Linked DNA regions of Diceros bicornis minor. The protein of the gene in region 2 purifies or fractionates together with the protein of the main gene of each other region. This does not show direct contact. Links are inferred from orthologs where the notes say so. Each region holds a gene or a part of one and is shown on either strand. Other genes may lie near its edges. The genes, in order: CLNS1A, SNRPE, U2SURP and EAPP.

What was found.
Region 1: the proteins of SNRPE (region 2) and CLNS1A purify together in Homo sapiens (affinity purification with mass spectrometry; 5 studies listed by BioGRID and IntAct, counting the BioPlex papers as one, with this or other methods). This does not show direct contact. The link is inferred for Diceros bicornis minor from reciprocal best matches to the Homo sapiens genes SNRPE and CLNS1A.
Region 3: the proteins of SNRPE (region 2) and U2SURP purify together in Homo sapiens (co-immunoprecipitation; 3 studies listed by BioGRID and IntAct, counting the BioPlex papers as one, with this or other methods). This does not show direct contact. The link is inferred for Diceros bicornis minor from reciprocal best matches to the Homo sapiens genes SNRPE and U2SURP.
Region 4: the proteins of SNRPE (region 2) and EAPP purify together in Homo sapiens (affinity purification with mass spectrometry; 3 studies listed by BioGRID and IntAct, counting the BioPlex papers as one, with this or other methods). This does not show direct contact. The link is inferred for Diceros bicornis minor from reciprocal best matches to the Homo sapiens genes SNRPE and EAPP.

Annotation. Positions count from the first base shown.
Region 1 is NC_080746.1:53,769,101-53,776,723, forward strand, and holds the start of CLNS1A (methylosome subunit pICln), read left to right. Parts: upstream 1-4,603; 5' UTR 4,604-4,655; coding exon 4,656-4,780; intron 4,781-5,082; exon of another isoform or gene 5,083-5,117; coding exon of another isoform or gene 5,118-5,143; intron 5,144-7,623. UniProt on the Homo sapiens protein: Involved in both the assembly of spliceosomal snRNPs and the methylation of Sm proteins.
Region 2 is NC_080743.1:101,799,429-101,806,716, reverse strand, and holds the start of SNRPE (small nuclear ribonucleoprotein E), read left to right. Parts: upstream 1-4,283; 5' UTR 4,284-4,333; coding exon 4,334-4,387; intron 4,388-4,768; coding exon 4,769-4,795; intron 4,796-5,878; coding exon 5,879-5,941; intron 5,942-6,833; coding exon 6,834-6,912; intron 6,913-7,288. UniProt on the Homo sapiens protein: Plays a role in pre-mRNA splicing as a core component of the spliceosomal U1, U2, U4 and U5 small nuclear ribonucleoproteins (snRNPs), the building blocks of the spliceosome.
Region 3 is NC_080741.1:10,942,039-10,949,915, reverse strand, and holds the start of U2SURP (U2 snRNP-associated SURP motif-containing protein), read left to right. Parts: upstream 1-4,873; 5' UTR 4,874-4,982; coding exon 4,983-5,027; intron 5,028-7,877.
Region 4 is NC_080744.1:14,754,511-14,761,439, forward strand, and holds the start of EAPP (E2F-associated phosphoprotein), read left to right. Parts: upstream 1-3,914; 5' UTR 3,915-4,005; coding exon 4,006-4,079; intron 4,080-6,929. UniProt on the Homo sapiens protein: May play an important role in the fine-tuning of both major E2F1 activities, the regulation of the cell-cycle and the induction of apoptosis. Promotes S-phase entry, and inhibits p14(ARP) expression.

The DNA.
Region 1 (7,623 bases), on a different chromosome or scaffold from region 2:
TCGTCATCTACAGCTATATATTTCCCTCTAAGCAATGCTTTAGCTGCATTCCATAAGTTTTGGTATTTTTTGTTTCCATTATTCTCAAAGTATTTTCTAATTTCTCTTTTGATTCTTGCTTTGATTCCATTGATTATTTAGGAATAGGTTGTTTAATGTCCATATATTTGTAGATTTCACAAATTTCCTTCTGTTATTGATTTCTAATTCCATTCCATTGTGGTCAGAGAATGTACTTTGTATGATTTCAATTCTTCTAAATGTATTGAGACTTGTTTCACGGTCTAACACATGTACTTAAGAAGAATGTGTATACTGCTCTTGTTGGGTGAAGTGTTCTATAGATTTCTGTCAGGTCTAGTGGGTTTACAGTATTAAAGTGTTGTTCAAACTTTCTATTTCCTTGTTGATCTTCTGCTTAGTTGTCCTATCAATTAATGAAAGTGGAGCTTAAGTCTCCAACTATTAATGTTGAATTGCATATTTCTCTCTTCATTCTGTCAGTTTCTGCTTTATGTATTTTGGGGCTCTATTATTAGGTGCATATATGTTTATAAAGGATTGACCCTTTTATCATTATATAATGTCATTCTTTGTCTCTAGTAACAATTTTTGTCTGAAAGTCTATTTGTCGGATATTAGTATACCAACTCCAGCTCACTTTTGGTTACTGTTTGTATGGTCTATCTTTTCCATCCTTTTACTTTTAACCTATTTATATCTTTGAATCTAAAGTATGTCTCTTGTAGACAGAATATATTTGGTCATGTTATTTATTCATTCTGCCAACCTCTGCCCTTTAACTGTAAAGCTTAATCTATTAGTCTTTAATGTAATTACTGCTGAGGTAGTATTTACATCTGCTATTTTGCTATTTTCTACATGTCTTTTTGTTCCTCTATTCCTATATTACTGCCTTATTTTGTGTTAAATGTATCTTTTCTACTGTAACATTTTAACTCACTTGTCATTTCTTTTATTATATATTTTTTATTTATTTTCTTAGTGGTTGGTCTCAGGATTATATTTAACATCTTAATTTATAACAAAGCAGTGTGAATTAATAATACATGATTACAATAGCATAGAAAGACTTTTTTCCTATATTGCACTGTCCTCCCCCTTTATGCTGTCATTGTACAAATTACAACTTTATACATTGTGTGTCCATCACCAGGGATTTATACTTATTGCTTTATATAGTTGTCTTTTAAATCAAATAGAAGGAAAAAAAAGGTTACAGACAATAAAATGTATTTATGCTTCCATTTATATTTACCTTGATAGTTACTTTCACTGGTTCTCTCTATTTCTTCATGTGGATTCAAGTTACTGTCTAGTGTCCTTTTCTTTCAGCCTGAAAAAATACCTTTAGTATTTTGTGTAGAGCAGGTCAACTAGGAAAGAATTCTCCATTTTAGTTTTTCTAGGAATGTCTTAATTTCTTTTTCATTTTTGAATGATAATTTTGCAGGATATAGAATTCTTGCTTGATTTTCTTTTTCTTTCAGCACTGAATGTGAATATGTCATCCTTCTGGCCTCCATGGTTTCTGATCAGCTGTTAATCTTATTAAAGATCCCTTATAAGTAATGAGTCACTTCCTTCTTGCTACTTTCAGGGTTCTCTTTACCTTTAGCTTTTGACAGTTTAACTATCATGAGTCTAGATGTAGATCTCTTTGAGTTTATCTATCCTACTTAAGAGTTTGTTGAGCTTAATTGCTAGTGTAGATTCATGTATTTCATCAAATTTGGGAGGTTTTCAGCCACTATTTCTTCAAATATTCTTTCTGCCCTTTTCTCTCTCCTCTCCTTCTAGGATTCCCATTATGCATATGATGGTGTCCCATGGGTTTCTTAGGCTCTGTCATTTTTATTCATTCCTTTTGCTTTCTGCTCCTCATACTAGATAATCTCCAAGTTTGCTGATTCTTATTTCTGCTGCTCAAATCTGCTGTTGAACTGCTCTAGTGAATTTTTCATTTCAGTTACTCTACCTTTCAGTTCCAGAATTTCCATTTGGTTCCTTTTTGTAATTTCTGTCTCTTTATTAATATTCTCATTTGGTCATATATTGTTTTCCTGATTTCCTTTAGGTCTTTGCCCATGTTTTCCTTTAGTTCTTTGATCCTGCTTAAGAAAGTTGTTTTAAAGTCTTTCTCCAGTAATTTCAATGTTTGGGCTTTCTCAGTGACAGTTTTCTTTTCTTTCTTTTTTTTTCTGTGAATGGGTCATACTTTTTTAAATTTCTTTGCATGCTTCATAAGTTTTTGTTTAAAACTGGACATTTTAAAAAATATAATGTAGCAACTCTGAAAATCAGATTCTCTCCCTCTGATTTTGTTTGTTGTTGCACCTGTGTGGTTGTTCTTGTTGGTTTTGTGACCCTTCTAAACTAATGTTGTAAAGTCTGCAGTTTTTGTGAAGTGTGGCCACTAAAGTTTCTACTTGGTTTAGTAGTGGTCAACTAATGATTGGACAGAAGTTTCTTTAAACATTATGATTTTTCAAGTCTCCTGTGGATCTGCAGAGTGAGGAATGGAACTAGGGTAAGTCAAATTGCCATGAAACTTGCTGGTCTTACTGAGATTCAGTTGTTTTTCTTGAATAAATGCTCCTTGGTTACATTTGGTTAATTTCAATAATTCTGTAAAAATCTTATTTTGACCATTTTTGCCAAAGTTTGTGTGGAGGAGTAAATTTTCAGATGTCCTTATTCTGCCATTTTTGTTAATGTCCTAGGCCTTTACTTTTAATAAATTATATCCACAATTATTCGATTCATTTTTTTTCACTTATATAACTTATTCAACACTTTTTTCAACTTATTGAACACTTTTATCAAATATTTTGGAATGCCTCATGTGTAACAGATAAGCTAAGTATTGGAGATGCAGGGCTCCAGAGGAGTTCCCAGTCTATTTGGGGAGATGAACAGGAATACGTTAGAAGGTAACATATGTCATGCATGAAGGAAGTACAGTGGGCCATAGGAGCCAAGTCATAAGCCCATAACCAAGACCAGGACTGACACGGGACTGAGAGTTGAGGGCAGTGTTCAGCTAGACACTTGAACAAAAGGCACCTTTATTTACAGATGCCTGTTTAATTCATACCAGTCATTATTAGCATCAATACTTGGCTGATAAAAAGGCCATCTGATAGGAACTTCCTCATCTTCCCACACTAATATTCTGCATCTGCCCCCGTCTTTTTCCCTTCCTACTTGACTTACTGAAGAGGTCTCCCCTGGACAAATACTACTTTACATAGGCTCAGAAGTATCATATTCCTCCTGAATTCTCCACGTTGGAGAAATGAGCCGGCATCCATTCAATCACTCAAGCTGGAAATCCTTTACTTCCCTTTCTTCTTCATTCATACTGATCTTCACCTTCACTACCATCTTGCCCTCAATCTATCTCCAGATTCAGAGGAGTTTGCCTTTGAAATAGGTCTAGAATCTGTCCCCATTTCCACCCTTACTGCCACTCTCTCATCTATACTATGGCAACAACTTCCTAATACTCTTTCTACTCAGAGGGCCCCTGCTCCAGTCTCACTATTAACAAACTAATCTCAGTTTAAAAATCGAACACTCCTCTAACTATTCAAAAGATAGAAGTAAAACTATTCCACATGTCCAGTCTTCCAGCCTCAACAGTCCTACAGCACACATATGATTATACTGATTTTACAGACAAGACAAGTGGCACCTAGAGAGACTGACTAACTTGAATTCCACTAGAATTCTCATGGCTAAACTCTTGGTCTTGAGTTGAATGCCTCAGACCTCTCATCTGTAAAACTGCATCAATAATAATAACTTTCTCATATAGTTGTCATAAAGAGGAAATGCAGAAATAATGCCGGTGAAGTGCCTAGAACAATGCCTGGCACATAACACTCGGTTACCTTTATCTACTATTATGATTATTTTTTAGGTTTTTATTGCTCTTATTACTTTGCTCTTCAGTGCCTAACGAAGAAATAAAGCAATAGTTCCAAATCTGGTGGACTAATTCTTACTGACGCAGGCAGCTCTTCACCCGGAGCTGACCTCTTTGGGCTCGTTTGCCCACAAGAGACGTGGGGATACGTGGCTCGGGCACGAGGGCGGTGTCAGGACCTAGACTGATGTCTGGGGCATGGCTGTTATGCTGAGACGTGAATAGGCCGGGATGAGGCTGGCCCAGGTGAGAAGAGCCGTCAACCCAGTCAAGAGACCTCTGACCTCTAGATGAGTGTGGTCTCTACTTCCTGTGCATCCTCAGGCAAGGGACTCCATGTCTCAGATATCTGTTTCCTCTTTTGTAGAAAAAGGAGTTTATTATTCCTTGTGCTTCCTCTCTCACAGGGTTGCTGTGACAACCCTGAAGTAGGACGTCGGGAAGAACCTTCCATTATTACAAGCCTGCAGCCTTAGAAATGGCAAAGGGGAGGGGAGTCACGTGACAAACTGGGCCAGGCCATCTCAGGCCTCCGAAAGCTTGCCCTAGAAGGTCTCGTCTCTATGGTGGCTGGCGCTCAAATTCCGGAGCAGACCAAGTTGCTTCCGGGGTAGTTGCCACCACTTCCGGGGCGGAACGCAGCGAGCTGGGTTTCCTGAGCTTCGGCTACCTCCTGGCGTGTGTGTCGGCGCACAGTGCTGCAATGAGCTTCCTCAAGAGTTTCCTCCCGCCCGGGTCGTCTGAGGGGCTCCGGCAGCAGCAGCCGGATACCGAGGCTGTGCTGAACGGGAAGGGCCTCGGCACCGGCACCCTGTACATCGCTGAGAGGTAGGGTCCCTGTCCCCGAGCGCCGGCCTTCTGCGCGCCGCTTTCCTCCTGCCGGCGCGGGCGGTGCGGAGGAGCGGGGGCGAGACCGCGACCTCGCGGCTGCTGGGAGGGGGCGCGCGTGCTCGGTGTCGCCTCGGGGATGCCTCTGCTGGGAGGAAAACTCGATTGTTCTAGTGTCCTCTCCTTCGGAGCCTGCCTTTCTCTCTTCTTCAGACGGAGTTCTCATTGATTATGGTTTTTACCCGCCTGTTTACCGGAGGTCTGGTGCGTGCGTTGTTCTTTACTCAAGCTTTTGTTTTAAGGTTCTGAACTTCCAGACCGTGAGTTGGAGTTATCGATGTGCCTGTCTTCTCCGATGAACAGGTGCGGGAAGTGTTACCCTGGGCGGGATACGTAGGCTTAGAGCAGGTTGTGGAGGATTTTGAAAGTTTGGTTAAGGAGTATAGATTTTCTTCTGTAGGTGTGGGTGGGGAGAGGAACACCCTCAACCCCACGCAGGCTGGGGTCATATCCAGAGCAACCTGACTCTCATTTCCCATTTCTGACTCCCATTTCCATTCAGCAGAAGGAATTGCCCTTTTATTGTCTACCTGCAGCACTTTGTACTTTCACAGTCAGATGGACATGGCCTAAATGTTGCAGTTGTAGAGCTAAGATCTCTGTTTCCTTGACATATGGTTCCATTCATCATCAAGCCAACAGTGACACAATGAATCCTTCCTGTCCTTCAGATCTGACTTCCCCTTCTGCTGCATCACTTTTGTCAACAGCCAGAGAAAATTTTTTTTTTAAGAGCTCATGTGATTACATTGAACGCACACAGATAATCCAAGATAATCTCCCTATTTTACTGGCAGTTGATTAGTGACCTTAATTAAATCCACAAAGCCCCTTTTGCCATGTAATGTAACATTCATAGGCTTAACACCAGGGAATGAAGGTCATGGGGGCCAAAATTCTGCCTACCACAGAGGGCACAAAAAAATGTAAAGAATCCTTGATTTATTTTTTCATTTTTAAGATTTTATTTATTTATTTTCCCCCCAAAGCCCCAGTAGATAGTTGTATGTCATAGCTGCACATCCTTCTAGTTGCTGTATGTGGGACGCGGCCTCAGTGTGGCCAGAGAAGCAGTGTGTCGGTGCGTGCCTGGGATCCGAACCCGGGCCACCAGCAGCGGAGCTCGTGCACTTAACCACTAAGCCACGGGGCCTACCCAGGAATCCTTGATTTAGAGAGAAATCTAGACATTGAGCAAAGCTTAGGCTTTTGGTCAGTCACTGAGATAGGAAACGTGGATGCGAGGAAAAACAAGTTTGAGGTGAGGAGCAGATAATGAGTTTGGTCTGGACATGTGTAGATTAGTCGGACATATGAGTGTGTATCTTGGGAGAATGGTATTAAAGATAGAGATTTGGAAATCATTAGTATAAGTGTTAGCATACTCATGGGAATAGATTATATTCCCCAGGAGAGAAGACGGCTAAGGATAGAAAGTTGGAGACATATCCACATTAAAAGGTAGGTTAGGGAAGAAGAGACTTGAGTAGAGAAATGAAGAAGGAGGAACCGTCAAATAAGGTAAAATCTGAAAAGCTTATGTTGGGTATTGACAATGAGATCTTGAATGATCTTGGGAGAGCAGTTTCTTTTAAGTGGTGGAGATTGAAGCACAAATATATTACTAGCCACTACACAATCCTGCAATCCCTTTTTCCTCCATGGTTTTTCTCTATATTGGCTCTTCTTTCTATAATACAACTCCTTTTTGGGTAAAATCCTATACTTGTTTTTTAATTTTGAAAAATTTCAAACCTAAAGAAAAGTTGCAAGTGTTGTTAATTAATACCCATAGACCCGTCACAAAGATTCATCAGCTGTTAACATTTTGCCACATTTATCTCTTTTTTTTCCTGAGCTATTTGAGAGTTGCAGACTTCACTTGTAAATAGTTTAGCAAAAATCTCCTAAGAACAAAGACATTCTCCTGTATAACCACAATACAGTTAGCACACTGAGGAAGTACAAACTCTTTTAAATTCTTGTTTTAAAAAAATTTTTATTTCAACTTTTCACTAACAAATATCTTACATTTCTTCCTTGAGAAAATATTTTTGAGGGGCCAGCCCCGTGGTGTAGTGGCTAAGTTTGGTGCGCTCCGCTTTGGTGGCCTGGGTTTTTGGGTTTGGATTCCAGGCACAGACCTATACCACTCATCAGCCATGCTAAGGTGGCAACCCACATATAAAGTGGAGGAAGATTGGCACAGATGTTAGCTTAGGGCTTATCTTCCTCAGCAAAAAAGAAAAAGGAATATTTTTGTAAAAAATACATATAGAAAAGAACATCAATTATATATGTAAAGTTTAAAGAATTGTAATTAAACTAACACCTGTATATCCACCATCCGGGTTAAGAATAGAATATTACCAGTACCTTGGACACCTCTGTGATCCCTCTGTACTCGTTATTACCTCCTTGGTCTCTTTCCCCTTTTTGTTTTTTCCCACCTAGCATTTCCAAGACTTGGTAGAATAAAGGTCTCAACAAACTGGGAAGGCTTCCTAGAGGATGTGACAAATGAGGATTAACAGTTAGCCAGGTGAATGAGGTGGGGCTGAGGGGATGCTCAGAGGCAAGGGTGAGAATTTGGATGTTGTGTATATATGTACAGTCATGCACCACATAACGACGCTTTGGTCAATGATGGACTGGATGTACAATGGTGGTACCATAGAGCCTAGGCATGTAGTAGGCTATACCATTTAGGTCTGTGTAAGTATCCTCTGTGATGTTCACACAACAAAATAGCCTAAGGATGCATTTGTTAGAACGTATTCCTG
Region 2 (7,288 bases):
AAAAGCAAAATGGATGGTGTGTATGGTTATTGAGGTCACTGATTTGGGTTGGGAGCTCAAGGATGGTGGTCAAGAAAAAGCTGTGAGGAGAAGCCATTGGCATAGCAGCCACAAAATATTTTGGACTCTCATCCCTTGAAGAGGCTCAGATTAGAACATCATGAATTCTAACCATCATTAAACACTACTGGCTACGAGAGAGATGGGTTTAAGGCAAACCCTGCCCTTGAAATACTTAGAAAACATTTTTAAGAGAAAACTAACAAAAATGAAGTAGGTGCAAGTATTAAGTGGATGGTGCTATAGAAGGAATGAGTGAGCAATCAGTGAGTTTGAGACTGGTTAGGGAAGGATTCCTTGAGGTGTCAGAGCTGGAGTTTTGTGTAGCTTAGCAAAGGAGATAATCTGAGCTGCAAACAAGGCCAAATTGAACAGATAAAGTTTGTTTTTAATGACCTCTGACCATCCCATTGGTACTCCCTCCGGGTCTCTGCCTTGTCTCATTCTTGCTCTCAACTATTCGTGGCTGAGGTATAACTGATCTTTTAAAAAAGAAAGAAGGATCTATTCTAAATGCAAATCTGAATCACTTTGCTTCGTAAGACTCTCCAGTGCCGTTCCCTTCCCTCCAAAATTAAATTCAAGACCCTTAGCATAGCATGTAAGCCCTGCCTACCAGCCTCCTGTCTGGCCACTGACGCTTCATGCTCTTCACTCCAGCAAAACTACTGGCTGTTGACTTCCCTCATACGCTAATCTCTAGCCCTTTGCCTTTGTTAATGCTGTCTTCTACCTAAAAATCTCTTTCTTTTCCTCTTTTCTTTTGGCTAACTCCTACACATTCTGTGACTTCCAAGCTACCTCTCCCTACACCCTGCAATCCCTCTCCTCAAACAGGTTTGGTGCCTGTCAGCTAGGCATGTAATTTCTGTTTACTCTCATTGTTTGAAAATTGTTTATCTGTCCATCTTCCTCAGCAGAGTATCAACTCCTTGAGACAGAGACTCTTACTAAGTTATATAGTCAGCACCTAGTACAGGCCTGGCACATGGAAGGTGTATGAGTCTGCTAGGGCTGCCATAACAAAATACCACAGATTGGGTGGCTTAAACAACAGAAACTTAGTTTCCTACAGTTCTGGTGGCTAGAAGTCCAAGATCCAGGTGTTGGCAAGTTTGGTTTCTTTTGAGGCCTCTCTGGCTTGCAGATGGCTGCCTTCTCAATATCCTCAAATGGTCTTTCCTCTGCATGCATGTATCTGTGTTTTAATCTTCTATAAGGATACCAATCACCTTGGATTAGGGTCCACCCATATGACCTCATTTAACCTTAATTACCTCTTTAAGGGCGTATCTCCAAATACAGTCACATTCTAAGGTACTGGGGGGTTAGAGCTTCAACATATGAGTTTGGGGGGGTACAATTCAGCCCATAACACAAGGTATTCAATAAACATTTGCTGAGTGAATGAAAAAGTTCTTGACCCATTTCAGGGGCTGCTGATCTTTGCTACACTGCCCCTGTCTTCCCAGCCCCATTCTTTGGTGTGCTTCTAATCAATCACAGCCATTCAGCAAGTTGTGAGGCTTCTGGATGAGACGGAAGGAACTTCAAGCTGAAAGGAAGGATGTTCTTCAATATTTGGGAGGTCTGGAGGTGACTCTTATCGCAGGGTGTACCTCTTTGGACCAGTGATTCTCCAGCCTATTTTGCAGAGACCTTGGGAGTGTCATGAAAATCTCAAATTTTACAAGAACATTATGATTAGTTGCAATAAAAAAAGGAAACAAATATTTCATAGTACTTTCCACTATTTCATGAATTTATTCAATTGGTGCTATATTCATCCACATTTCAAAATTCAAAATGTACATGAGGCTTTAGTAAAAATCCTCCCTCCTACTCCTGCCCCAGCTACTGAGTTCTCCAAAACCAATGTTGTTAGTTTCTCAGGGATTCTTCCAGAGATACTTCAGGCATATATAAGCAAGTATACTTCCATACAATATCATGTATAAAACACATGATATTCTGCACCTTTTTTATTATGAATAGTTTTAAATTATGAATTACAAATTTACGACAAATCCTGTTTCATCTAAACCCACACCAACTGTCCATCCCCTACTCTGGGCCCCATGGCTGGGACCAGGGTGAGGTAAGCCAGATGCCTGAGCACAATTTAAGGAGGTGCTCACTCGGGGTTGTACTTGCACATGTGAGTGTGATTCCTCAAATTTTGCTCCTTAGGCTTGCCCCATCCCCTGCTGGCTCCACTGGATTATTTGGAAGTAAATCTCAGATGCATCACAGCTTGTTTTTTCTTACTATATATTGGATATCATATCAGGAGACAAAGAGCTTCTTAATCTTGATTATAGTTGCATAGTATTACACTATATGAATATGCAGTAATTGAGCCAGTCCCTGTTGATAGACATTTAGGTTGTTTCCTGTCTTGGTATTTTAAACAATGCTGCGATGATTACATTATGTCACACATGTAAGTTTATCTGTAGGATTAAATACCTAGAAGTGGAGTTTAATAATTTACATTACCACCACTTTTTGATCTTTGCCAACCTAATGGGGGAAAATGGTTTCTCAGCATAGTGTAGTTTGCATTTCTCTTTTAATGAGAGCAGTTGGGCATCTTTTTGTATGTTTGAGGACTATTTTATTTCCTTTGCTATAAACTGATTGTTCACAACCATTGCCAATTTTTATTTTCAGTCTTTATGTCAGATTAAAAATATATCATGTACTTAGATTAAAAAAACTAACCTAAGTTGTTCTAGAGTTTAATGTAATCACAGTAAAAATACCAAAAGTTTTTTAAATTAGATAAACTAATTCTAAAGTTTGTAAGAAAAATAAGAATAGCTAGGAAAATTCTACCTACTTCTAGTCCTACCAAATAAGAAAACTAATTATAAAGATACAATACTGTACTCATAACAGTGATACTGGTCCACAGACACAAAGATCAATTGAACAAAATATAAACTATGTACATACACATACACTGGTATATTATAAACGTGGAATTTTAAATTGAATGGGGAACAATGGGTTATTTTTTTGTAATGGTGACGGACAACTGGGTAGCCATCTAGAAATCATAAAGTTGTATCAGTTCTAGGATACATTGGGATCAATTCTGGATGGATCAAAGATTTAAATTTAAAAGATTAAATTTAAAATCATTAAAAAAAAAAGCAAATCACTTCTCATGAGTTGTATATATGACCTATCAGTCAAATGATTGGTTATAGGGATCAATCCCCAAAAGTTTAGGAATCACGACTTCAGAAACAGACAGGAAAACGCAAAAACGAGTAGCAAGGTCTTCACACCTGCGATGGGCTGGGCAGGGCAGTGTGCGATCCGAGCTGTCTGAACCCTGCACATCTCCAGTTCACTCTGGCCCCACACTCTCCACTGGGTTTGGGGCGGGGGACTTTTTTTGAGAAATAATTACTCCACTGTCTCCTAGCTCTTCATAGGTTAAAAATCACGTTCGTACGCTTTGACCTCAACCCCTTCACGAGGTCGGCATCCCTCTTTCCTCACTGAACGTCCGCCCCTCCTCTAAGGGGCGCCCTGAGCCAGGGCCTCAGCTCTGAGCGAGCGTCTTCATCCATGAAACGCGGGTTCCAGCTGACCAGGACCCCGCCTCCCGCCGGCCCCCGGACGCGGTGTGCGGACCACGCACGCGCGCTCCCGCTGCCCCGACTCGCCCGGGGCGAGTGTCCGCCCGTCTGGGGACAGCTGGGCTGAGGCCGGCGGGCCGAGGGACCCGCCCGTGTCCTCCCGGTCGGGGCGGGTGGAGCCCGGAGTCAGGGTCCGGGCCCCCACGCACACGGCCGCGCCCCTCGTCCCCCCACCTCACGGGGCCCACGACGGCGCAGCCACGGCGTCCGCCTCCGGACAGTGCCAGGTGCGCCCCGAGCCCGCCGCCCGCCCCTCCGCACCACAGCGCGGCCGTCACCTTCGGTTCCAGGCGGACAGGCCTAGGAAAGCACAAACCAACCCATTCCACAGGCGGAGGGCCGCCTGGGCCGCCTACCTCTCTCGGCCGACTCAAACCGAGCCGCCGCCTCCAGGTGGCGCTGTAGGACCGGCCCACGTTCCAAAGCGCCATTCCCCTCAGTCGGGCCTCCCCCGGATGCTGTAGAGCACCGAGAAAAGCGAGCCCCCCGGCTAGAGAGGCATTTCCCAGGAGCCTCCCCGGTCGCCGCGCGGGGACCATACACTTGCTTTTCCGGTTCCTTATTCCGGAAGTTGCTCTGAGGCGGCGTGCGCGTTCGTGTGGCCTTTGTCCGCTTTCACCATGGCGTACCGCGGCCAGGGCCAGAAGGTGCAGAAGGTGATGGTGCAGCCCATCGTATCCTCCGCGGACGGCAGGGCTGGGGGGTCGGGCCGGAAAACGGGGCGAAGAGCGGACGGCAGGCCGGAGGGCGCGGGCCGCGGCCACCTCCCGTGAGCCCGCGGGCGGGCGGCCGAGCCGGAGGAGGCGCGGGAGTCGAGCACCGTGCCGGGGGAGCGGGAGCCGCGGGGAGACGGCTGCGGGAGTCCTGGTGAGGGCGGGGGCCGGCGTCCCGCGGAGTGAGAGGGCGCGCCTTCGAGGGCCGGGGGCGGCGCCTGTGTCGTGCAGGCGGCAGAGCTCGCGCTCGGAAGACGACCAGGGGACGGTGGGCTAGGGTTGACTCGCTCAGGGGCCAGAGCCTGTGCTGTGCGTGTACTTCTTCCTTAACCGCGGGTGCAGAACCTCATCTTCAGATACTTGCAAAACGTACGTAAGTCGTTAGTTTCGTAGTTTTCTTTGAGTAAAGAGTGAATTTATTTGGCTGTGTCATTCTGTCTGATCACTGTGTTCTAGAGTTAAAAATAGGTGGAAACTGTGGAGATTGGAGGGGCATTTGAGGGGAAAGGGTACAGGGAAAGCTCTAATGTAGTAAAATGGTGTGTAGCCATGCCAGCTCCAAGCATCAGAGAATCGTGTCATCGTTACTTTGCAAGACCGAGATTACTAATTTCAAAAAGTAATTATTGGCAGACGTGTCAGTGGTATTTGGATATTGGTAGTGGTTATGGCCAGGGCATTGGAACCTTTCCCTCTTCTTTCCCCTAGGGTGAGACGTCGGAAGAAAACTCCAGTCAGCTTTAAACCACGTCATAAGGTGGTGTGTTTAGTACCTGGAGGAAAACTTAAACATAAAAAAGACAGTAAAAAAAGAGAGAGGAGGGATAGATTCAGGCGGTTTAGTGGCAGCCTGCTTTCTTTTGGGAGGATTTTTAGCACCTCAGATTTTGAGTTGGCAGGGCAGAGTGTTTAAATTATTTCTGAGGGAAAATGTAGTTCCTGTTGCTCTTACAAATTTTAGCGTGACAATACAATTGGAAAACATTAATTTCAAGCCATTGTAATTTTTAATCACCAGAATTGAGAGTCCCTCCCTTGATTGTTAGGTGTAAGGCATGGAAAACCAAGAACCTAGAGAAAGCTGTTTTGGAGCTGGATTTTCTTATAGCAGGTGAGAAAGAAGCACTTGGTCATTAGAAATTCCTGCTTTGTGCGATACTGTCACCAACTTTCAATTGAAATGTATTGAGAATAGAAGCAGTAAGAAATGTGATTGAGTTCCAAGATCACAGGGAAATTATTAACTTAGTCCCAATGCAGCATTTATTAAGTGAGAATGTTTTTTGGCAAGTAACTAGTCTTAGTTACCAGTTCTTAGGTATGTGTTAAGTGGTTAAAACTCTTGACTTGAAATTTTTGAAGTTTCTTTAGGAGCCTTGTTTCTCTGTTGTTTGACCAAAGTGATTGGATTATGTTTATTTTTTAACATTTTTATTTTTATGATTATTTCAGAGATCTCGGATTCAGGTGTGGCTTTACGAGCAAGTGAATATGCGGATAGAGGGCTGTATCATTGTGAGTACCCAGGACATTTACTACCCAGTTAGTTCACAGAAAAAGATTTTGCAGAAAAGGCCAGCCAGAGCAATGTACAGAAAGTCCAAGACCCAACCCAAGGAAAGTTTTTTAGGGCCCACTATCCTTGTCTCATTGTTCTACTCATTGTTAGGAATTGGGTAATTCAAAAAAGAGAGGGAAAATTAATTTTTAAAATTAATTTTATTTTAAAAATTTAAAATAATTTTAAAAATTATTTAAACAACAGTGTTAGTATTCAAAGGAGAGGACAAAAGAAATAAAATTGAGGGGGGCGGTGAGGATTAATGGAGTGTTAGTTTTGGGTTAGGTGATACCTCAATAGAGCTTGGTGGGGTTAGTTAAATAAGACTCCCAGGATGGCAGAGTACCCTAAATAATGTTTTAAAGAAGGGTAAAATATGGTTGAAAGTATTATGTTCAGACACTTTGGTTTTCCGTTTAGACTTGTAGATTCCATCAATATAATCTCCCCTTCCCTGTTTACTAGTTGGAAAGCAGGCGTGGTGGTTAGTGGTGTTAGTGTTTTGTGGGGAGCATGGGAAGAACGGTGCAGTAGATGTTAATTCACATATGTAGGCGTGTACTCGACCTTGGGCAGCTTATAAAAGGTAGAGAGAATGGCTCTTTGGCATAACTAATGAGATCTTAGTCCAAAAGGTTACAGAAGTAACTTGGAGTACATGCTGGCTTTCTTTGTTATTTAAGGAGAGGCTTAGGGTGGGAGGTGGTGTTCAGCTGAAAGATCAGTGTAGCGGTGAATTTCTGAAGTTGGTTGGCATTTCTGTACCTCCATAAGTGTGTTCTTGTAGAATGGTTTGGATGTGATCTTACTTGAAGATGACAGTCATCAATTGGCTTATTTTTCTAGGGTTTTGATGAGTATATGAACCTCGTATTAGATGATGCAGAAGAGATTCATTCTAAAACAAAGTCAAGAAAACAACTCGGTAAGAATATAGATGCCTTATAGAATTGTAGAAATTTGTATTCACTGGTACAGTTGAATGACTTGCAACTCAGTTCATGTTTAAATTTAGTTTGTATTTGAGAAGTTATTATTTGGGGGAGTAGTACACACTTGGAATCATGCTCTGCCACTTATTCCTTACCCCACTCCATTTCTCCTGCCTGTCCACTCAGTTCTCACCAAGGTCACCGAAGACTAATGGTGTTTAATGGTCAATATTAGTCCTTATGTTATTGAATTCTAAACAGCATTTGGCACTGTTGGCCACTCCCTCCTTAAAAACTGTTCCCTTGGCATTATGATACTATGCTTAGGTTTTCAGTGTTCATCTCTAGTTACTCCTTTTCAGACTTTTG
Region 3 (7,877 bases), on a different chromosome or scaffold from region 2:
GCATTCTTTGGCATATCACTAGGGTCCCCGAGTTTTCTATGAGAATTTAAAATTCTATATTTTCAGTTCCATGGTTAGCTAAAAAATGAATATGTAATTCAACTTACAACCCAAAAGTCAGCCACATCCTCATAAGAACACTAAAAGCATTCTCACTAAAGTCAGGAATAAGACAAGGATATCCATTAGCACCACTCTTACTTAATGTTATTTTGGAGGTACTGGCTAATGCTATCACACAAGAGAAAAACAAAAGATATATTAAAAAATATGGGAGAAGAGGAGGTAAACGTGTAGTTATTTGCAAATGATATGATCGTATACCTGAAATTCCAAGAGAAAAAACTGAAAAACTACACAAATAAAAGAATTCAGCAAGGTGGCTGGGTATAACATTAATGTATAGTAATAAATATAAAACACTAATTACTTAGGACAGATATAAATAATGGAAAAACTTATTCTATTTGTAGTAACAACAGAAAAGAGAAAACAACTAAGAATTAAGGTAACAAGAAATATGCAAAGTCGATGTGAAGGAAAGAGAACAAAACTTGAAAAAGAAGAAAGCTATGCCATGTTTTTTGACAGAAATTTCACATTATCATTACCATGACAGCCGTGTCAAAATAAAGCCTTCTGTGTTTAAGACCACTGCAGTTGGACTTCTGTTACTGGCAACCAAATGAAATTGATAAGAGAAATAGTTTTGTTTCATTTTCTTGTCATAACTTCATTCTCCACCTAGCCTTTTATATTATCTGGTCTTGTCTCAAGAGTTTTAATCTTCATGGGGATACATAGGCTCCCCACTGGCAGAAGGCAGGTCATAGATTAAGTGAGGCCTGATCTCTGGGTAGTCCAAGCCACGCCCAACTTTGGACTGCCACGCCATGGCATGTGGGGACTCCCTTGGAGATGTTGCCCTCTGCCAATTGCCATGGGCATCTTCAGTCTTTCTTTGTCTCACACGCACATACACACACACACACACACACACACACACACACACACTCATTTAGGACCACCCATTTCCACAATACTCCATCTGGACCATCCTAGGTTTTAATATCTTGTTGATATAATAATTGCTACATAGTAAGGGTAATCTTCTAACCAGGATCATAGCTAAAATAGCAATTTTTATTATTTTCAACATGTCACCAGCCCATTCTTGGGCTATGTGCTTTTTGACACCATTTTTACATATCTTTTACCTCCTGGGCATTTGTAGTTTTAAACAATGCCACCGCTAATTATTATTGTCAAAGGAATTCTAGATATCATCAGTAGATAAGTCGGGTATTTTTGTTTTGGTGAGGAGGGAAGAAAAGGGAGAAGCTGCTATTGCCACTAAAATGACTTGTCAGGCTAGCGTGGTGCGGTGGTGTGGGGCGGGCAATCGACTTCATTAGAAAGAATCTTCCATTCCACACACACCACACCCTCCTTGAAGGCTGTTCCCTATTTCTAGAAGCCGCTAGGATCCCTCTTAGCGGAAGAGCTCAGTCTGATTTTTAGCTTTCCCTCCCTCCCTCCTTATCTTCTTTCTTCAGAGCTTGGCACATGCTAGAAATTCAATAACTGCCAAACCAACAAATGGATGAGACTGTGCTTTCACCAACCTCTATCCTGAAGCCTAGAGAGCAGGGAGAAGCTGCTTAAAAACTCTCTAGAATGAGAGTGCCACCAAGTAGGAGCAGTCCATTGGCACAGTACAGGAGATTTTAGCTTTGGGCAATCATTTTTAAGGTCTCTCTCTCTCATTGTGTATATTGTTAAATGCTGCTTTTGTTTCAGCCTCTTCACTCCACCTTTTTTTCCTCTTATTTTAAAAGAAATTAAAACATTTGGGAGGCCTCTAAAATTACGGTGGGCCCTAGGCAATGAGCCTTCGGTTCCTAATGGATAAGGCAGTTCTCTTTGGTGCCTGGGGGACTGATTGTTCAATGTGTTGATCATCACCCCTGGTAAGACTTAAATTCTACAAGAGATGTAGAAAACTCAAATGCTTCCCAGCAGGCGGGGTGTGGGGCATTTGTCCACTGTGTGTGTGGTGAAGGCCCTTCCAGAGAGGTCACTGTGACTCACCTCCACTGGACTGTTGCCAGACTTCCCCATTTTTCAAGAAAAACTGGAAATCCTGAGTATAAAAAAGTAAAATCTCTCAATTTTAAAATACTAGCCAAATCAAAGAAAAAAATTTCCCTGCTTGAGTCAAACAAAATACCTCTGTGGTCTGCATCTGGCACTACTTGGTAATCTCTGCTGAACACAGCTGCAGGGAGGACCCTCAAAAACTGGTGACATGTGGCGGACTAGAGAAGCAACACATCAGGGAGAGAAAAATGGCATGGTTTTAGTGTGATTGTAAAAAAGTTAAACTAACTGTGGTAAATTGTATGATTTTCTTGCTATTTATGTGTAGTCCCTTGGGAATAGTTATTGTGAATCTAATTAAAAATCTCAGATTCTGTAAAATTCCATTTGTACTATATTCATGCTATCTCATCCTCCTTAATTTTTGGTTTGAGTAATAGGGCCAAGATTTCATGACTTATACGTATTAAGGAGAACTCTGCTCATAACCTTGATTGTGAGTTTCTAAAAGTGTATTTAATTAGGTCTTAATAAAGCCCTATGTATGACTGGTAGTCAGGTCACGTTTGTCTGACTTCCTTTGGGGTTTTAGCGTATGAAAAAGAAGAGAGGGAAGAAGTCTGTGTTCCTTTATTTTTAGCTCTTTAGGGGTAAACATTTAGTAAAAAGTATTTTTATGAGAAGTAGGACTTTAGGGATTTGAATGAAAAGCATGCATATATTCACTTTACAGTGACAGTCAGCCTGCAGCATTGCTAGCACGGACAAGGCACAGCCAATCCTCCTCCTTCCTTCATCTCAGCTGATGGTTTCACTTTCTAATCCTAGATTGTAAACAGACAACTAAGATCCAGTGTGATGAGCATCCGGAGTGGGAAAGTATAGGTTCCTATGGAAACAGAAGCAGAGTCTCTAACTTAGGCTTGGTGGAGTAGGGAGGTCTGAAAGTCCTCTTGGAGGAAGTGACATCTTCAACAAGAGTAGAAAATTGATTAGCCTTCAGAGGCCAGGACAAGGGTGGGAGAAAAGGCCCAGAATTGAAAAAGTGTGACAAGATCTGAGACTGGAAACAAATTCAATTGGACTGGAGGTTGCAAAGCATCATTCCATTTTAATTTCAACGCATAGCACTTGTCACTTTCTGATCATTTCTTGTTTGTTTGCTTACTTATCGTGTGTTCTTCTACCCCATCCTCTCACACAGAACAGACCCCCTACCTGCTGATTCTTCAGTGCCTGCCACATATGACTATTAATCTTCCCTGAGGGCCTGCCACGTGTCAGATCCTGCTTAAGTGCTTCCCTCACCACCATCCCAACCTCCCCTTCCCTGCCCTCCCACCAGCCAACAGACAAAATTTTACTTCTTTAGAGTTGGCTCAAATGCTTCCTTCTCTGTGAAACCTCCCCCATCTCATTACCCAACCCTACCCTCAGAATTAATTACTTCTTCAGAGTTCCCACAGCTATCGATCCTTCCTTGCAGGATCAATTTAATTCTGCATAGTGTTATTTCCCTTGTTTGTCTCCCCCATTCTGCATTAAATAATTTGATTTAAAAACACATTGATTTTAAATCAAATGTGTTTTTATTTGTCTGTAAGTCTCTCAACACTTTGGGCAGGCTTTTATACACAAAATGGGGCTCAAAAATATTTTGAATAAATGAATTAGAGAGAGAAGGTTATGAACCCTTCTTCTTTCTTCCTTCCCCAAGTCCCCAGAGCAACCTTTTAAAACTTCAAATCTGACCACATCAAAGCCCTACTTAACCCTGTTGAAGGCCACTCTTCATTCTCTGAGTTCTAACTCATAAGCACACTGGTAACCTCAGGGCTCGTGTGATCTTGCTCCCATCCACCTCTCCAGCCACGTCCCTCCCTACACCTGGTCTAATAAAACCTGACTGCTTATGGTGCCTGCAGAGTGGGCTGTACGGACCCATGCCATCAAGCTTTTATTCCAACTACTCCCTCTGCCTGGAATGCCTTTCCATTATCCTTGCCTGGCTCGGTTCAGGCATGACCTTCTCAAGTAAGCTTTCCTTCTTTGAAGACAGATCCTATTAAGAACTTTAAAAAAGTTCTAAGTACAGAAAAGTGTGCGGTGCTCCCCTCCATTTACGTGTTTAAAAATGAAAACAATACTAAACTGTAAAACGTAATTCTTAAACGATACATAACTTACGCGTTTGCTAGATTTAGAAAGCCACCTATTTATGATTTTCTCATTCACCCTCTCTCTGCAGGTACCCATTTTGTAGATGCCCCAAACAAGAGTCTATCGGATCTCCCCACTGCCGGAATCTCAGGCTGAGTCAAATACTCCTCTCCGCTTGCCGGGCACAACTCTATCTTACAGTGACTGGAGCAGATGGCAAGTTTGCCCTTTTCACCAGGGCGTGAGCTCCCGAGGCGGCGCAAACACCGTCTTTGTCCCTGGAGAGCCGGACCCTCCAGTTGGCTCCAGACTTATCTTCGGAGTTGAAAAGCTTCCCCCCAGCTGACCAGTGCATTTCTTCTTTAACGACCCGTTCCCTCCTCGCCCAGGAAAGAAAACTGGCTCACCCCCATCAAGAGTTGGCGCTGGGAAAAGAGTGAAGTATCAGCGGCCCCCCAAAGTCAGGACGACGACATTCTCTAACTTCCCGGGTCCAGGAACCGAACCAACAACCGAGACACCCACGGAAACCAAGGGAGTGGGCGTGGCCTGGGAAGGACTGACCCCGGAAGTCACGTGGCGCAGCGCCGCTCGAATCCCTCATCTCCGCAGTCGACTATTCAGCCTTGCAGGCGCCTCCGGCGGGCTCCGCTGAGATCCGCTCTTTCGGCGCTCGACTCGCCCGTGCTGCTGTCGCCGCCGAAGGAGGGGCAAAGCGCAAGATGGCGGACAAAACGCCAGGCGGATCTCAGAAGGCCAGTTCAAAGGTAATTTCTTAGAGGACTTCGTAAGTCAGTGAGTCTGTCACTGTCGTGTGGGGTCTACTGACGCTTCTGGCCAGCGGGAGGAGGTTGGGGTGGGCGTCCGCGTTCCGGTCGCGGCGGTCGGCCGGGGCGCCGCCGCACGGTGGTGCGCAGGTTGAGAGGCCTGGTGTCTCCCCTTCGTCCCGGCCTGGATTCGGCTCGAGACCGGCGGGCCCGGGGGGTGGGGTGGTGGCGTGAGGAGTTCGGCCCGCGCTCGGCACTGGAGTGAAATCGGGGATTTAGATCGAGGCCCGGAGCCGTGAAAACGCGCCCGTGTGTCTCGGCTTATTGCGCCCTGGGGCCGCCGGACAGCGCCGGGGAGAGGCGGGAATCGCTCCCTGGTGCTCATGGGTCTGTCTGTCTGTCCTCGGTTCTTTGGTTTTGGATCTCACAAGCTTCCGGCCTCTCTCGATTTCCCTCACGCCCTCCAGGGAATAAATAACCTCTGGGGCCGCGAGTTGAGAGGCAGGGACCAGTGGCGGAGGGACGCGGGGTGGGAAGTGCAGAGGCGGGAGCAGCGCTCCTTTGCGGTGCTGCATCGCCAAGGTTAATACTGTGCTCTCCACGTGGTCTCACCTCGCTTGAGAGCAAGCGTAAAGCGGGCTCTTGTTTTGAGGGCTCATTTTCGAGGACTCCTGCGTCTCTATGTTGCGTGTTCCACTGAAAGGAGAACTTCCGTGGACTTGGAAGCCACCTAAAATTAGCAAATTGCTTTTGCGTTTACAGGGAACTGTGTGCACGTATTGTGAAACCATTGAGCTGTAGAAGTAGTTTAGTGTTAGTTAGTTGTGGTTACTATCAGGTCTTAGTTGCTATCTTGGGCGGGTCATTTAATCCTTTTTTGCCCTGTTTCTCATCTCGAACACGAGATTAAAAGTAATAGATACTGTCCGAAGTAGGTGTTAAGCTTTTTCATGCAGATGCAGGAAGTTTTGTGACACCTAAACAGGGACTGTTACATCTTAAAGAGTGTGTATGATTATAAGTCGGTTCTTAGGAAGTTAAGTTTACCGTAGAAGGGGCGAGTCTTGCGTTTATAGTTTGTTCTGAGAAACATAACTCATTTTATATTTGCTTTTTCAGTTTCTAATAAATCATAATTTGTACGCCGTTTGGTGAATGATATTCATAATTAGTTCGTAGTTAGTAATGGCTTTATCAGACATCCTTTAGTTATGTAGAAACTATGGTTCAAGGCCAGTTTTGGCTGCTTTACATCCTGTGTCTGCTCTTTGTTAGTTTCTTCCCTCCCCAGTACATTTCCCCTTGAGGAGGAGGGGAATAGTTGGGTACCTCTCTCTGCCCACTTCCCCTCAACAGACTCATGACAAAAACAGCCCTGCTTACTATTAGGGAACTATTACAAAAGCTAACTACATCCATAATAATTGACGCACAAGCTTCACAACTTTTGTTTCTTCTCAAAGTAATATTTTAAGTATCTCCTATTTGAGGCCTTGGATACATTGAAAACCTTTTAATATATGTGTTGTCTTCCTTCTTTAGTACTTCTCATGGTTGTGTGTGGCTGTTCTCTATAAGTGAATTGTTGGGTCTTGCAGTAATCTTTTCAGTTTATATTGCTTTAGATTATCATCAGTTGATGCTATTAAGAGATTTCCTGGGCCGGCCGGTGGCGCAAGCGGTTAAGTGCGTGTGCTCCGCTGCGGCGGCCCGGGGTTCGCTGGTTCAGATCCCGGGCGCGCACCGACGCACCGCTTGGCAAGCCATACTGTGGCGGCGTCCCATATAAAGTGGAGGAAGATGGGCACGGATGTTAGCCCAGGGCCAGTCTTCCTCAGCAAAAAAAAAAGAGGAGGATGGCAGATGCTAGCTCATGCCTGATCTTCCTCACACACACACAAAAAAGAGATTTCCTACTGATATCTGTAAAAAGAGAATATCTCAGGACTCAAATGGTATTGACGTGACTTTCTCCATTAATATGGAGGATACATGATGCAGTAGAAAGATTATGGATTTTGATAACAAACGAGATTTGGATTCAAGTTCTGACTTGGCAATTAATTATATTTGTGATATTAAGGCAAATTGCTTAAACTCTTGAGCCTCAGTTACCTCATTTATAATATGGATATAATCCCTTTTTTACAGGATTGTTATAAGGATTAAATGAGTTAGTGTCTTAGTTTCTTTCCCTTCTCCTTTTTGTTTATAGAGGAAATAAAAAGTACTTTTCAAAATATCAGGATAAATTCTAATCTTGAGATTTAGAATCGAAGTCATCAACTATCATAATGACTGCCCAGATTGTTGTTTATTTCTAACACAGGTCCAGAAATTATTGAATAGAGTCTTAAGATGATTTTGACTAATACTACAGTATTTGGAATTTCTAGCCTTTGATCTCTGTGATTTGATTTCCCTTCCTCTGAGGAGAGCAGATGAATGACATATTCTACTGTACAGATGGAGTGAACAGATTCTTCTGTTTCGTGTTCATTCTTCTTCTTTGGTAATTAAATCCTCATTGATATAGGTAGGGATGCTTGTTAATCATATTTCTAGACACCGAGGAAAGTGTTAATTTTAAAATGTGCAATATACAAGATTTTTGCCATTGACAATGGCAATATTATTTGACGTGTCTTAATTATAAAATAGATTAGATAACCTCTACCGTTTCCTCTAGCTTTAAAAATTACATTTAATGTATTTATAGCCAGATGACTTACTTTTATGAGTAGCTGTCCCCGATGAAGAGAGGCCGGGCCCTTTTATTTTCTGTGTAATTTTGCTGTACTTTTCATTTTAAGGCCTGGCAAATGTAGAAATTCAGTAAATGCTTTAGGA
Region 4 (6,929 bases), on a different chromosome or scaffold from region 2:
CTCCCACCACGCCCACCCGGACCACGACCCTGGCGGCGTTCGGATCTCCACACGCAGGACGCCGCGGCCCGGCCAAGCGGGACCAGCAGCCTCTGCGCGCACGGTCATCTGCATACGCCACGCCCCTGTCGTGACGTCCGCTGCGTCCCGTCTCCCGCTCGGGGATACGGGACCTACGAATCCCCACCGGAGACCCGACGAGTCCGGGACCTGGAGGGGACGCCCGGGAAGACCGGATCTCGCGGCGCCGGCGCCCGGCAGCTGAGGGCCCCCTGGGGGCGGGTCAGGGCTCGGGTCTGGTCTCGCCTTCCTTTCAGCAAAAAGGAAGTTTCAGCGCATTTTGTCCTTGCCCGGCCGACCGAACTCATTCTCCCTGGACACGATTATTATGAGGGCAGCCCCCCCCCATTAAACATCTAAGTACTGATATTTCCCCAAGCAACTCCACAGGGATCGTTTTCCCATGGCGCCATCCTCAGTAAGCCTGTCATAAACTACATCACATGAACTGCCTCAACATACACAACAACTAAACCTAGGGAAATCTAAAGGAAAAAAAAGTCAAGGTTCTAAGCTTGAAGAAAGAAAACCAGGGCAAAGTACAAATTTCATCCACTGTGCAAATTGTGCAGTGGTGGAGTTAAGTATATAATACTAGTAAATAGAAAAGTATTTTATTTTATTTATTTTTTTTGAGGAAGATCAGCCCTGAGCTAACATCCATGCTAATCTTCCTCTTTTTGCTGAGGAAGACCTGCTCTGAGCTAACATCTATTGCCAATCCTCCTCCTCTTTTTCCCCAAAGCCCCAGTAGATAGTTGTATGTCATAGTTGCATCCTTCTAGTTGCGGCCACAGCATGGCCGGAGAAGCGGTGCGTCAGTGAGCGCCCGGGATCCGAACCCAGGCTGCCAGTAGCAGAGCGGGAGCACTTAACCGCCAAGCTACGGGGCCAGCCCCTAGAAAAGTATTTTAAAACACTTAAAAAATTTGTAAATATACTGTTATGTTTTACAGTAAGTTCATGATATCTGAAATATTCCATTTAATCTGTTCATGTCTCCTTTTGTTTTTAGATAGTGAGGCCAACACAATTTTTTAGACAGTAAACACAACTTTTCTATCTCTGCTACTCTGCCCATTGAGGGGTGGAGTCTGTCTCCTCCCCTGGAATCTGGACTTAGTGACTAGCTTGACCAATAGAATGTGGCAGAAGTGATGTTCAGAGAATTCTGAGGCTAGGTCAGAAGAAGCCTTGTAGCTTCCATCTGGGTCTCTGGGAACCCTCTCCGCCAGACTTGAGCTGCTATCTAAGAAGGCTGACTACTCTGGGGCTGCCATATTGTACGGAAGCCCAAGGCTTTGTGGAGAAGGATGCATGAAAAGAGAGATGCTCAGTGAGTCCCCAGCAGTTTCAGTCCTAAACTGAGACCCCAGAGTAATCCCTGCCAAAACTGCAGATTTGTGATGAAATTAGATGATTGTTTTTGTTTCAAAGCTCTTAAATTTTGGGGTGGTGTTTTTGTGCAGCAATAGAGAAATGGAACAGGAAGAAAGAAATAAGCAAACAAGTAACATGAATCAGAAGGGGAAAAATGTGGATTAAAGGATAGAGAAGATGGGATGGAGAGAAGGGGTTGGGGTTGCGGGCTTAAAGTTTTTGATAAGGGGGTCAGGGAAAGCTCTCTGCTTCTCTCTGTTACACACTTGTGCTTTTCTTTGCTTGCTCATCATCAACACATATAACCCCTAAACAGCCATCCTAAAATGGCAGCCTCAGCTCCTGAGTTTACTTGTCCTGTTACAAGTCCTAGGACCACAGCCAACTCTTTAGAATCTGTAACTCTTACTTTTAAGTTTATGGGAGTAAGTAGGTAAGTAATGGCCCAACTTTCATGGAGCAGAATGATTATGGATATAAGGGCATATCCCTGAGGAGGGCCACAATTCCCAGAAAAGGAAAAATGGATTCCCCAACAGGTGTCCCCTTCACATCACTGTGACTCATGGAAGAGTACTGTACCTCTCAAAAGAGTTGGGTGGAACAATAGTTGAAAACCAGAGAAACACATGGCACGTGTGAGTGGTACCTTATCCTACAAGAGTTCAAAGCAGAGAAAGATCCCATGTAGAGAGAGAATCTGAAAAGGCATCATAGAAAAGGTACAGTGTGAGTTCCCAGAACTATGGCATCTCATGGCTGAAAGGTATCCTAAAGGGTCATTCTATATATTTATTGACCCATCCATTGCTTGCAGAAGGATCTTGAGGTAGGGTTTGGATGGTGGAATTAGAAGTAGGAGAGGGTGGGGGGGCTGGCCAGGTGGCATAGTGGTTGGGTTTGCACACTCCGCTTTGGCGGCCCAGGGTCCACAGATTCGGATCCCGGGTGCAGACCTATGCACCACTTATCAAGCCATGCTGTGGTAGGCGTCCCACATATAAAGTAGAGGAAGATGGGCACGGTTGTTAGCCCAGGGCCAATCTTCCTCAGCAAAAAGAGGAGGATTGGCAACAGATGTTAGCTCGGGGCTAATCTTCCTCACCAAAAAAAAAAAAAAAAGTAGCAGAGAGTGCTTCAGGGAATAGCATAAGCAAAAGCCTAGTGGTGGAAGGCATAACGCATATTCTCGAATCAGCAAATTGTGCTGGATATCTGTAGGGATGGCATGATGCATTGAACTATATTGTGGAGGGCCAAGAATATTGCAGAATAAGGCGAACAGATCAGCCAGCGAAGGTGAAATATTGGGACATTTTAGGAAGGAAGTCATCCAGAGCAAAAGCTGTGCTGGAAGAGCGTTACTCTGCCAGTAGAGAGTAGCATGGATTGCAGAGGGAACAAAAGCAAAGTAAGGCTGTCAGTTAGGAGCCTGTATCAATAGTCAAAGTGAGGGGTGGGGAGATGGGAGGTGGGTGAGAGAGGTATTGCTAAGAGATCTACAGGACTTGGGAATTGAGGGCTCATGGAGGGACAGAGAAGGAGTCAACCAAGATTCCAAGACTTTCAGCCTATGGCAGTTGTAAGGATGGAGGAAGTGACATACGCAGAAATCAGAAGTCAAAAGTAGTTATTGGCTGAGATATAGGAACGGGGTGGAAGATGGTGAGTGTGGTCTGGGCTACGTTGACTTTGAATTGCCGGTGGTGCAGCAGGCGGAGTTACCTAGCCAGGCGATTGGAAATCCAACCTGGTACCGGAGGAGAAGGCAAGGACCACATAAGACGGGGCAGTCACCTGATTGGGATCATGCAGAGGGAAGAATTGTCCGGAAGGAGGCAGGAACTTGAGTGTAGGCCAATACAGAAACAGGGGAGGAAACGGTCTCACAATCGGGAAGCTGTCATCGGCTTCACCTCGAGTATCGAGTGGAATCGGATAAAGGCTGAGCAAAGGTTGGGACTGAGGAGAGGCCAAGAAAATGCAATTAGGAAGTAACTGGTGGCAACCTAGCAACTTTCCGGTAGACAGTTGGGGCTGAAGTCAGACTGAGGAGAACAGGGTGAGCCCGAGGCAGCCGCGCAGTGACAAAAAAAGAAAAGCTTGAGGCGAGGAGGTTGGAGGGACATCGGGTGCTAGTGTCTGGGGACCCACTGGCCCGGACTTCAGGCTGCATGTCTCTCAGCATCTAGATTTCTGCTTCTTCACGTCACGGCGGGAGACAATGCACTTGGAGCGTTCATCTCAGAGACTGCCATTTACGAAGGTGCCAATTACTATTTCCGGTAATAGGGTAGCCGTTTCCAGGTGAGCAGAAGCCTCGGAGGGCAGTGTCGAGACACGGGGACCCGCCCCCTCTCCCCGCCCCCTCGTTGGGACGATCTGCGCAGGCGCGCAGGGAGGGCGCGGAAGTGCGGGCGGAAGTGAAGTGCGGTCGGAAGTGAAGTGCGGTCGGAAGTGAAGTGCGGTCGGAGGTGGAGTCCGGAACGCTTTAGGGAAGGGACCTGCGGCGTAAACAGATGCTTTGCCGACGCCTGTAGACCGTGTCGGAGGGCGCAGGCCATCATGAACCGGCTCCAAGATGACTATGACCCCTACGCAATTGAAGAGCCTAGCGACGAGGAGCCGGCTTTGAGCAGGTGGGCCCCTGCCCCGTTCTTGCCCCGAGGCTTCGGGCCGAGGCCAGGCCTTAGTCTCCTCCCCTCCCTGCGCCTGCCGCGCTCGTGTGGACCCTCGGCCCGGCGGTTGTCGCGCCCCGCTGTCCCCTGTGGGACGCCGAGGGGGCTTCTGGTGAGGTCGCGCAGCCACGGGGGAGGCGGGGCTGACACCCGCTTGGGGAAGAGGGATATTCTGGAATTCTGCGTTTGTCTTCAAAAGCCGTGAGATCGAATCCTGCCTCTGCAGCTTACTAGCAGTGTGACTGAAGGCAAGTCAGTTATCCTCGATTTCTCATCTGTAAAGAGGAAATATAATAACTATATCGGAAGTATGTTGTGAGGTTACGGGACTTAATGTGAAGTGACCATCTTGAAGACTAAACTGCCGTAAACAGAAATAAGGGACTATTTAACAGACGTTTTCTGAGCACCTGTTAAATGCTTGCTCTGGGCTACAGAGGTCAGTCCTAAGATATTTGTCTTTTACAGGTTTCCAGTACAGTAGGGGAAATAAGGTATATGTTTCGGAAATAAGCATGTATCTCAGAAGAGTGTTGTAGAAAACTATGACCTGAGATAGGCACAGATGAAGTTCCATGGGAATTTCCAGAAGGGAGGGATTAATCCTACCTGGGGGAAACTTGGGATTATGTTGGCAAGAAATTTGCAGGCAAATTAAGCCATTTTTTAAGTTGTCAGCAGATTCTATTCATAAACTTTAAAATATTCTATCCGACTAAGCTTTCTGTGAAACTGTCCTTCCTTTAGCCACAATGTTTCCTCATACTATCCTGGGGAGGGTTGTAGGCATGAGAGAGCAAACTGCTGTGGAGATTTCTGTGGTGGGAAGTGAGGATGGGTTCCAGGATACCCTGTGAAAAAGCGTTTCAGTTAATGAGTCCCGTCTGTAAAGGAGGTATATGTAGGCCTCTTGGAATATAGCCGTGTTTCCTGGACTTGAGTTATTCCCCCACTTACCATCTCCATAGTCACCCGGGTTATTATTTATTTAATATTTTTCTTTAAATCAGTTTACATTTTTGTAGTTAAGTTTCTTTGAGGAAGCTTTATAATCCTGTGACGGTTGTCACTGGTAAGGTAACTATAAAAATAAATGCTGTGAGGGCTGGCTGGGGGGTGCAGCGGTTAAGTTCACGCATTCTGCTTCGGCGTCCTAGGGTTTCCTGGCTTGGATCCTGGGAGTGGACCTACTCACTGCTCATCAAGCCTTGCTGAGGCAGCGTCCCACATAGAAGAACTAGAAGGACCTATAACTAGAATATACAGTTATGTACTGGGGGCTTTGGGGAGGGAAAAAAAGAAGAAAAGAGGAAGATGGGCAACAGATGTTAGCTCAGGGCCACTCTTTCTCAAAAGAAGAAAAAAGAAAAGAAAAGCTGTTAAAAAAAGACTACGAAAACAAAACTGTTATTAATGTTGCCTGCTCAAGGCTCTAAATCAAATGCTTGTTGTTTTGAAAAGGGAGATTGGTGTTAGAGAGATGTTTAAGAGATGTCGGTCAGCATTTGATTTTACCCTACTTATAAGCTAATATTTTATAGCCTGTTACTGTTTCATGGAAGCTGGCAGAAGACATGAGACTCGTGGGTCAGAGACAACTCACAGCACAGCAAGCAGCATGAGCATCATGTTTGTGTTGCTCGCTGTTAGTTCCCAAGTCTTACAGGGGTTACCCGGAGAGGCCCAGATGGATGCTACACATTCAGTGGGTTGGCATCGAGGCTCAGGACCACTTGAGCTTGGAGAATCCACCTCTTTTACAGCAGGCAGTAAATAAGCCTGCTCTCTGTCTTGGAAAGAGACATTGCCTCATCCCTCAAGGTTGTTCACTGCAAACGCAGGCCTGGGTGAAGAGTGATCAGAACCTTGCATTCTTGGCATACTCAACAGGAATGTGCAGGGCCCGTGATGTATTGCTTCGCCCAGCGGTGCTAAGTGCTGAGATTTCTGTTGAAATAATCACAAGGATTGAAGAAAATTTGAGAAAAGTATAACTCTCTTGCCATGTGATTCAATTTTTTTTTAGTTAAACTTTTTATTTTGAGGTGGGTTCACATGCAGTTGTAAGAAATAATGCAGAGATTCTCTGTTCCCTTTACCCAGTTTCCCCCAGTGTTAACATACTGCAGAAGTACAGTACATATCACAGCTGGGATACTGACATTGATACAGTCAAGACACAGAACATCTCCATCACCATAAGGGTTCCTCATATTACCATTGTCCGCCCCTGTGCCCTCCTTAACCTCTGGTAACCACTAATCTATTCTCCATTTCTACAATTTTGTCATTTTCAAGAATATTATATAAATAGAATCATACAGTATATAACCTTGTGGGATTGGCTTTTTTCACTCGGCATAATTCTCTGGAGATTCATCCACATTGTTGAAGGTATCAATAGTTCATTCCTTTTTTATTGCTGAACAGTATTCTGTATTTGTTTAACCATTCATTCATTGAAGGACATCTGGTTGTTTCCAATTTTGACTATTGTGAATAAAGCTGCTATAAACATTCATGTATAGGTTTTTGTGTGAATTTAAGTTTTCATTTCTCTGGGATAAATGCCCAGGTGTGTGATTGCTGTGTTGTGTGGTAGTTGCCTGTTTCGTTTTATAAGAAACTGCCAAGCTGTTTTCCATAGTGGCTGTACCATTTTATATTCCCACTAGCAATGGCTTCATTGTTACTTAGTGGGCTGTCTGCCTGCCACTCCTTAAAATAATCTACATTCCACACTTTGGAACACTAGCATATTGGCTAAATCAATAAACTGGATAAATCTCAACCTTGGCAGCATTGACCTCT